Linked DNA regions of Cricetulus griseus. The protein of the gene in region 1 interacts with the protein of each later gene in a pairwise test. Links are inferred from orthologs where the notes say so. Each region holds a gene or a part of one and is shown on either strand. Other genes may lie near its edges.

Evidence for each region. The genes of interacting proteins can lie anywhere in the genome.
Region 2: the proteins of Ppp1cb (region 1) and Ppp1r3c interact in binary tests that used the Homo sapiens proteins (3 or more experiments, as listed by UniProt). The two-hybrid records come from large-scale screens. The link is inferred for Cricetulus griseus from reciprocal best matches to the Homo sapiens genes PPP1CB and PPP1R3C.

What each region holds. Positions count from the first base shown.
Region 1 is NC_048600.1:11,979,545-11,983,192, reverse strand, and holds part of Ppp1cb (serine/threonine-protein phosphatase PP1-beta catalytic subunit), read left to right. Parts: intron 1-114; coding exon 115-186; intron 187-967; coding exon 968-1,119; intron 1,120-2,255; coding exon 2,256-2,390; intron 2,391-3,648. UniProt on the Homo sapiens protein: Protein phosphatase that associates with over 200 regulatory proteins to form highly specific holoenzymes which dephosphorylate hundreds of biological targets.
Region 2 is NC_048596.1:25,029,236-25,033,428, forward strand, and holds the start of Ppp1r3c (protein phosphatase 1 regulatory subunit 3C), read left to right. Parts: upstream 1-1,360; 5' UTR 1,361-1,457; coding exon 1,458-1,471; intron 1,472-3,355; coding exon 3,356-4,193.

The DNA of each region.
Region 1 (3,648 bases):
TCCTCCATGAATCTCTTAAGGTGTAACAATTTATTTTCTTGGTAGAAGGATAGAAAAGACAACACTATTACAATGTTCTCCTAGATTATCAGGTTTTTCTCTTTTTATTTATAGGACTGTCACCAGATCTACAGTCTATGGAACAGATTCGGAGAATTATGAGACCCACTGATGTCCCTGATACAGGTAAGTATATACAGAGGTTTATAGTTAATTGCTTTATGTAAAATGTTGACATGCTTGAACCTAATTATATTTAGTGGAAGTCATTCAGAAACTTTAGTATCATCCCTCACCAGTTAACATTTGATACTAAGTTTTGGTTTGGGGGATATTTTAATGGAAAGTTTCTGAGATTTTGAAAATGTTTATTTCAGTGTTTGATGTTCAAAGAGTTCAGCCTTCAGAAATAGAATAATATAGTCCTTACATCTTTTCCTAGGTTTAAACAGACATTTCTCAAATTAAGGATCTAATTTGATTTTGTTCTTCACCATATTGTTTTATTACTGTAGAAATTAGAAAAGCAGGATAGAAAGTGGGAAAACAAAGAATCTAAAGTGATCAGGATAATTCTGAAGGAAAAAACTACAGGGAAAGACTAGCCCTGCCTGCCAGATATAAAATCTTAACTTAAAAGTGTTTATGTTTTCATGGCTTAATGATAAATAATGCAAGAGGCTGGTGCTTAGTAGTGTAATTGTAAGAAATGGATAAGCTGACATTCAGGGAATGATAGTGAGAAACTAAACAGAGACTTCCAGATATTATACTTGAGTGTGCCACACACTATTCGTGTATGCAGAAATCATCAGAAAGTGCTGCCTTGGGAGTCCAGGAGAGGCTATATTTATATGGTTGCTTTAACAAAGAATGGTTTAAAATGTAACAAGGCAGGAGAAATATATATGTGCTTTATTCTGTACTTTCTTCTATTTCATTGATTTGTTTTTTCTGTTTTCTAAAGGTTTGCTTTGTGATTTACTGTGGTCTGACCCAGATAAGGATGTACAAGGCTGGGGAGAAAATGATCGTGGTGTTTCTTTTACTTTTGGAGCTGATGTAGTCAGTAAATTTCTGAATCGTCATGATTTAGACTTGATTTGTCGAGCTCATCAGGTATGTAGTGTTAAGACTCTTGAACATTTTGTTGTTAGTTTCACACACTTTCACTCATAGTCAGACAGAGCACGCACACACACACACACACACACACACACACAGACACACAGACACACACACACACACAGACACACACACACACACAGACACACACACACACACACACACACACACACACACACACACACACACACACACACACACACGAACGACAGTGCAAAACTGTCTGAAACTCTAGTTCTAGAGAATCAGACGGCTTCTTCTGGCCTTCAATAGCACCAGGCATGCAAATGGTGGACAAACATACATGTAGGCAAAACACCCATACACATAAAAATAGAGTAATTAATTGAAAATTTAAAAGATAATGTGGTTTATATAGGGAAAAGAATGGATGAGGAGGCCAGCACATAGTCTGTTCCTCAAATGTGTGGGTATTGTTTTTTGACAAAAGCAAACTGCTATGAAAAAATTTTTGAGGCAGTTGTGGGATGTGATTACCAACTGTTTAATAGTACATTGTTAATTATTTTAGCTGTGATCAAATCATTATTGATACTGTAAAAAGAGTATTCACTGTTCTCAGTAATGCATACTCAGTGCTCATGATCTGTAAAACATAATTGGTTTGTAATACATTGACTGGAAGACACTCTGAAAGTTATCTTTTGTCCCTCTTAATTTTGCTTTTTAAAGTGTGTATTATTTTTCTGTGTGAGAATGTTTTGCCTGCATGTATGTGCTTGCACCACAAGCATGCCTAATGCCTAACAGAGGTCAGAAGAGTGTCAGATTCTCTGGAACTAGCAATGTGGATGTTTATGAGCTAACTGTTGATGTTTGGAACTGAACTCAGGTCCTCTGGAAGAGCAACATGTGCTCTTTAACCGATAAGCATTGCCTCAGCCCCTTCAGCCTCCTTTTTTGTTGCTGGTTGGTTTTGTGGGTTTAAAAAAGAAAGGTAGGGTGTGTGTGTGTGTGTGTGTGTGTGTAGATTCATTTTGTTTTGTTTTCTTACTATATTTTTGAGTAAAGCCAGGGTCTTGGCACTTGAGAGGATTTGGCCTTTGCTTCATTAATCAGTTAAAAATTACCTACTAGTGAGTGTTTTTATTTTTTATTTCCTTCGACAGGTGGTAGAAGATGGATATGAATTTTTTGCTAAACGACAATTGGTAACCTTATTTTCTGCCCCGAATTACTGTGGCGAGTTTGACAATGCTGGCGGTATGATGAGTGTGGATGAGACTTTGATGTGTTCATTTCAGGTAAGACATGAAATATAAGTGTCTGTCTGTCTTTTTTGAGACAGGATCTCCTTGTATAGCTCAGGCAGACCCTGACCTTGCAGTCTTCCTGCCTCTCCTTCCTGAATATCAAGATAGTAAGCTAGGCTGGGCAGTGGTGGCACATGCCTTTAATCCCAGCACTCAGGAGGCAGAGGCAGGTGGATCTCTGTGAGTTTGAGACCAGCCTGGTCTACAAGAGCTAGTTCCAGGACAGCCTCTAAAGCCACAGTGAAACCCTGTCTTAAAAAAGAAAAGAAAGGGAAAGCTTAGGCTACACCATTCTTGGTCCATATGTTTAAGTTGTTAATTCTTCTGTGATGTACTGGATCGTGTGTAACTACTAAAAGAATGAGTGGCAAGCTGGGAAGATGACTGAGTAAATTGCCTGCTGTATAAGCATCACCTTAGTTTGGACTCCACTTCATGTACAACAGTGGCATGTGCCTGTAATTTTAGGCTAAGGTGGTAGAAACAGGGGGTACCAGGACAGGAGTTTGCTGGACAGCACAGTAGCCAGTTAATGAATTTCAGGTGCATTGATCACCCTTTATCAAAAAAAAAAGAAAAGAGAGAGAGAGAGAGATGAGGAAGATACCTAACATTTGTTGACCTTTCTCGTATGTATGTATGTATGTATGTATGTATGTATGTATGTATGTATGTATGTATGCATTCTCCCACACTGTGAAGAATGAATGCAGTGGATACATTAGGGTTTGGGGGGATGTTTGTTTGCTTGCTTGTTTTTTGTTTTTTTTTTGGGGGGGTCAAGATTGGTGCATGAGATAGGTATTGGGGAAGAGAGAATTATAAATTTAGACAAAAATAAAATATTTACCTAAGAAGGAAAATTTCCAATAAAAATATGCACGTTTAAAAGGCTCTTGCTTTCTCGTGCTTCTTGTACAAACTTGTTACTCACTGGCTGAAAAGCTTACTGCTACAAAGGTGATTTCATGATCTTGACATGTACATTACCAACATCTGAGGATGCATAAATTCTTTGTATAGAATGGCATTATGTTCAGATATAGACCATATATATCCTTCCTTCTGTATGGTTAGCTTCTGAATTGTTTACAATGCCTAATATAGTGTTTAGAGAAGGACCAAAAATGTCCATACATGTTCAGGCCAGAAACCTCTTTTTCCGAATATTTTCACTCTAATATTAGTGTGGTTCTTGGATTGAACTGATTGAAACCCACTGGTGTGTAGAACTGACTCTGTTTCTAAG
Region 2 (4,193 bases), on another chromosome or scaffold:
CAGAAGCCTGAAGGGGTCGTAGATCCCTTGGAGCTAGAATGACTCTGTGTGTGTGTGTGTGTGTGTGTGTGTGTGTGTGTGTGTGTGTGTGTGTGTGGTGTGAGCTGCCTCATCTGGGCGCTGGAAATTGACCTCTGGTTCTCTGAAAAAGTAGCAAAGCATTCTAATAGCTGAGCCCTCTCCAGTCCAGCAGCATGCATTTTTTTTTTTCTTCTTCATTCTAACTCCATTGTAACAATTCTTGTGTTTGACAGGTAAGTGACACAGGAAAATTGTGTTCATTCTAATTGGCTGCTGGATAACCAAGCAGAGCCAGGTCATGGGGCTTTATGAAAATATTTTGCACATATATGCATATAACAACACTTAGCAAAAAAGGAGGCCATGAGTTTGAAGAACAAGGAGGGATATATAGGAGTGTTTGGAGAGAGGAAAGGGAAAGGGGAAATGATGTACCTAAAATCTCAGAAAAACAAAAGAAGAAAATTTCTACTTGACTAACAAAGTTAGTTTTATAGTTTTTAATTGTACAACTGATTTGGTCCCTCAAGGTCCAAAATAAAATAAGGAAACCTCAGTGAAAGCAGCTGTCTTGGGAGGTTTGTGACATGTAGCCTGACTTTTCCCTCACTGCCTAAGGATGTCGGAACCCTGGCAGGGGTTCGGGCTGCATGCTGCATCTGACAATGAACAAGGACAGTAACTTCACGTTGGTCTCTTCCAAGGAGAAAACGGCACACAAAGGGTCTGCTTGCTTATTTAGAGGTAGAGTCTTGCTAGGCTGTCCAGGCTGGCCCCCTGCCTGTCTTCAGAAGTGAGGGATCACAGGGCCACCTCCTTTCATGGGCTCACGAGGTTTCTTAACATCCCCTGCCTGTTTTCAGTGGCTGAATGGCGTTATTTGTGGAGAAAGAAAAGTCAGCCAACTTCTGTTTGCGTGGGCCAAGGAGCTTGGACACACAAAGCAAGGAGCACAAGTATTTCAAATAACACAGCACCGGGTGGAGACACAACTTTCTGAACTCAGATGCAACTCGGCACAGACCCACGCATAACACATAGGACCCCTCCAGGCTCGCACAGGCCGGGAGAGGCCAGCTGAGTATTTGCTGCCGTGCGCTACGTGCGGCGCGCGCGGTTCTGGGAACGCGGCTGAGTCCCGCTGGCCCAGGGTTCCCTGACACCGGGCTCGCCTTCCAGCACGCTCCGGGCTCATCCAGCCCCGCGGTGATCACGTTCCGGGGACAGGGGCTCGTGGCCCAGCTGCGCGCTGGTTGGCCCTGCCGTCGGGCCGCTGATTGGTCCGAGGGGCCAGCTCACGTGGTCGGGCTCTGATAAGCTGCCTCCCGGCCCCGGCGGTCAGTCGGCGGGCTGGACCGTGGCCCTGCATGCACTAGGTGCTGGCTGTGAAGTTGCGCGGGGTGAGGTTATCGCGGTCGCCGCTGCCTCTCGGCCCAATGAGCTGCACCAGGTAGGTTCAGTGCAACTCTGCGCCCTAACGGAGGGGAACCTGCAGCTGCTGCAGGACGTTGGGCGCGGGGGGCGGGGGGGGGAGGCTCCTGTGGTTTTGTCTTTTCTGCAGATGGAGACCCCGGAGGCCTGGAAGGAGTGGAATTGAGTTGTACTTCTTAGAGCTTGTTTTGGGAGTCAGCACCCCAAAGCAGAAACTGCCTTAGCGCGAGTCAGCTATGGCTGGGATTCCCTTCTTGAAGTGACTCTGTTGCCTTTGAGCTCAAAGACCCAAGCACTTGAGGGCTGCATAGTTTGCACCCTGACATTGCTGTTGGGGTAGTTTAGGCTGTGGCAGAAGTTACAGGACGATTTTGCATTTATTCATTCCTCCCATTTGCCTATCCTGGTTTGCCATAGAATACTCAGTCTCAAGGTTTGAGCAAACTCTCATTTTTAACTCTTGCCCAATTCTAAAATTTACTATAAATGCAGACGTGAATAAACAAATAACAGCTCAGCAAAACAAAAACAATGAATAACAGCTCAATCAACCAAGCAACCGAGAACATCCCATGAAATTTAATTGCGTCTCCAAGTCGTGATGTAGTAAAAGAATTCTCCCTCCCCAAATCCTGCCTGTTAATGGTTGTTAGACAAATACACTTAGAGCTTTTGTCTGTCAGGAAAACTCCTATTAAATGAGTTCTGTATACATTCTTTACTGTCTGTGATGATGACCATTTGCCAGCGGGCTGTGCTTAGTGAGGCTGTGAAGAGAAATTCTTCAAGCCAGACTATGTCTGTCTGTCTATCTATCTATCATTTATTTATGCTCAAATATAAATACCACTTGCCCAAACAGTAGAAAACACCAAAGGAGCACAAAATGGGTAGATTGTGTAATTCTGTCCTGCAAAGAGAATTAACATTTTAGTCTTTTTCCCTGTGAAGTTTCTCAGTATTTATAAATTCTTATACCTACTATGTATTTTAAAACAGTTTAATTCTCAGATTATCAGTTTTTAAAATACATTTTATTTTGCATATATAATGTATACAGCGGGTTACAAGACAAATATAATAAAGTAGTTATTATTGAACAGAATGAATATGTCTATTACCTCAGCAGCCAGTTTTTCCATTTCCATGTGAATGTGTCATGAGTATCCCTCTGTATCCTTCTATATGAATGTAGGTTATTTAAAGGTTTTTTTTTTTTTTTCCTTTAGCACATGAGATGTTGGCTGGTGTTGCAGTTGGTCATTTCTGAAAAATTAGGATGAGCTTGATAAAATACAAAAGTCTTTCTGACTTCACATAATAACTACATGACATTTTAAAAATTGCTTCATTTGTCTCTTTTCAAGTGGATTATGTCTCCAGAGAAGTAAAACCGATTTAAGAGCCAGAATAAGAAACAGCAGCCAGAAGGAGCAAGAGGGTCTCTGTCTGGGACTGTGATTGTGGAGGAGCCTGTCTGGTCAATAGACTTGAGGAAGCTTTAAGTACATATTTACCTTGTTGGTGCCACACCATGAAGCTCCACTGATTTTTTTCCCCTAAAGCAAAGAAACTCCTTTAGTCACATTGACCTGACAGGTAGAAGAAGCACTGACCCAGAACAGAGCAATAATCCTCAGAGCTGTGTCAGACATCATCAGGTCCAACCCTCTTAGTTTTCAGATGGGGAAAGTGAACTACCCTGAGTGTTTCAGGTGGTTTACACCTGGTCCAATAGTCTGCCAAGCACAGAGCTAGTCTGCAGATCTAGTCACCTGCGTGTTCTCCTCGTCTTCGTGTGTTAACACCTCCCTGATTAGCTGTAACTGGTGCACATACATGTGGGACCAGGGCAAGACTACCCCAGCTGTTGGTGACCACCTCTCTTCCTTTTCCTTTCCAGAATGATCCATGTGCTGGATCCACGTCCTTTGACGAGTTCAGTCATGCCAATGGATGTGGCCATGAGAATTTGCTTGGCTCATTCACCACCCCTGAAGAGTTTCCTGGGTCCTTACAGTGACTTTCAAAGAAGAAATTTTGTGAATAAATTGAAGCCTTTGAAACCATGTCTCAATGTCAAGCAGGAAGCCAAATCCCAGAATGAATGGAAGCCCACAAATGACCAAGCCAAGAAGCGGGTTGTGTTTGCCGACTCCAAGGGGTTATCACTCACTGCTATCCACGTCTTCTCTGACTTCCCAGAAGAACCTGCGTGGGACCTGCAGTTCGATCTCTTGGACCTTAATGATATCTCCTCCAGCTTAAAACTTCATGAAGAGAAAAATTTGGTTTTCGATTTTCCCCAGCCTTCATCTGATTACTTAAGTTTCCGGGACCGTTTTCAGAAGAACTTTGTCTGCCTAGAGAACTGCTCTTTGCAAGAGCGGACAGTGACTGGGACAGTCAAAGTGAAAAATGTGAGCTTTGAGAAGGAGGTTCGGGTCCGAATCACCTTTGACTCCTGGAAAACCTACACAGATGTGGACTGTGTATACATGAAGAATGTTTACAGCAGCTCGGACAGCGACACCTTCTCCTTTGCCATCGACTTACCCTGTGTCATTCCCACTGAGGAGAAAATTGAATTTTGTATTTCTTACCATGCTAATGGGAGGGTCTTCTGGGACAACAATGAGGGTCAGAATTATAGAATTGTCCATGTACAATGGAAACCCGATGGGGTTCAGACACAGATGACACCCCAAGACTGTGCATTCCAACAGGTGGCGCCTAAGACT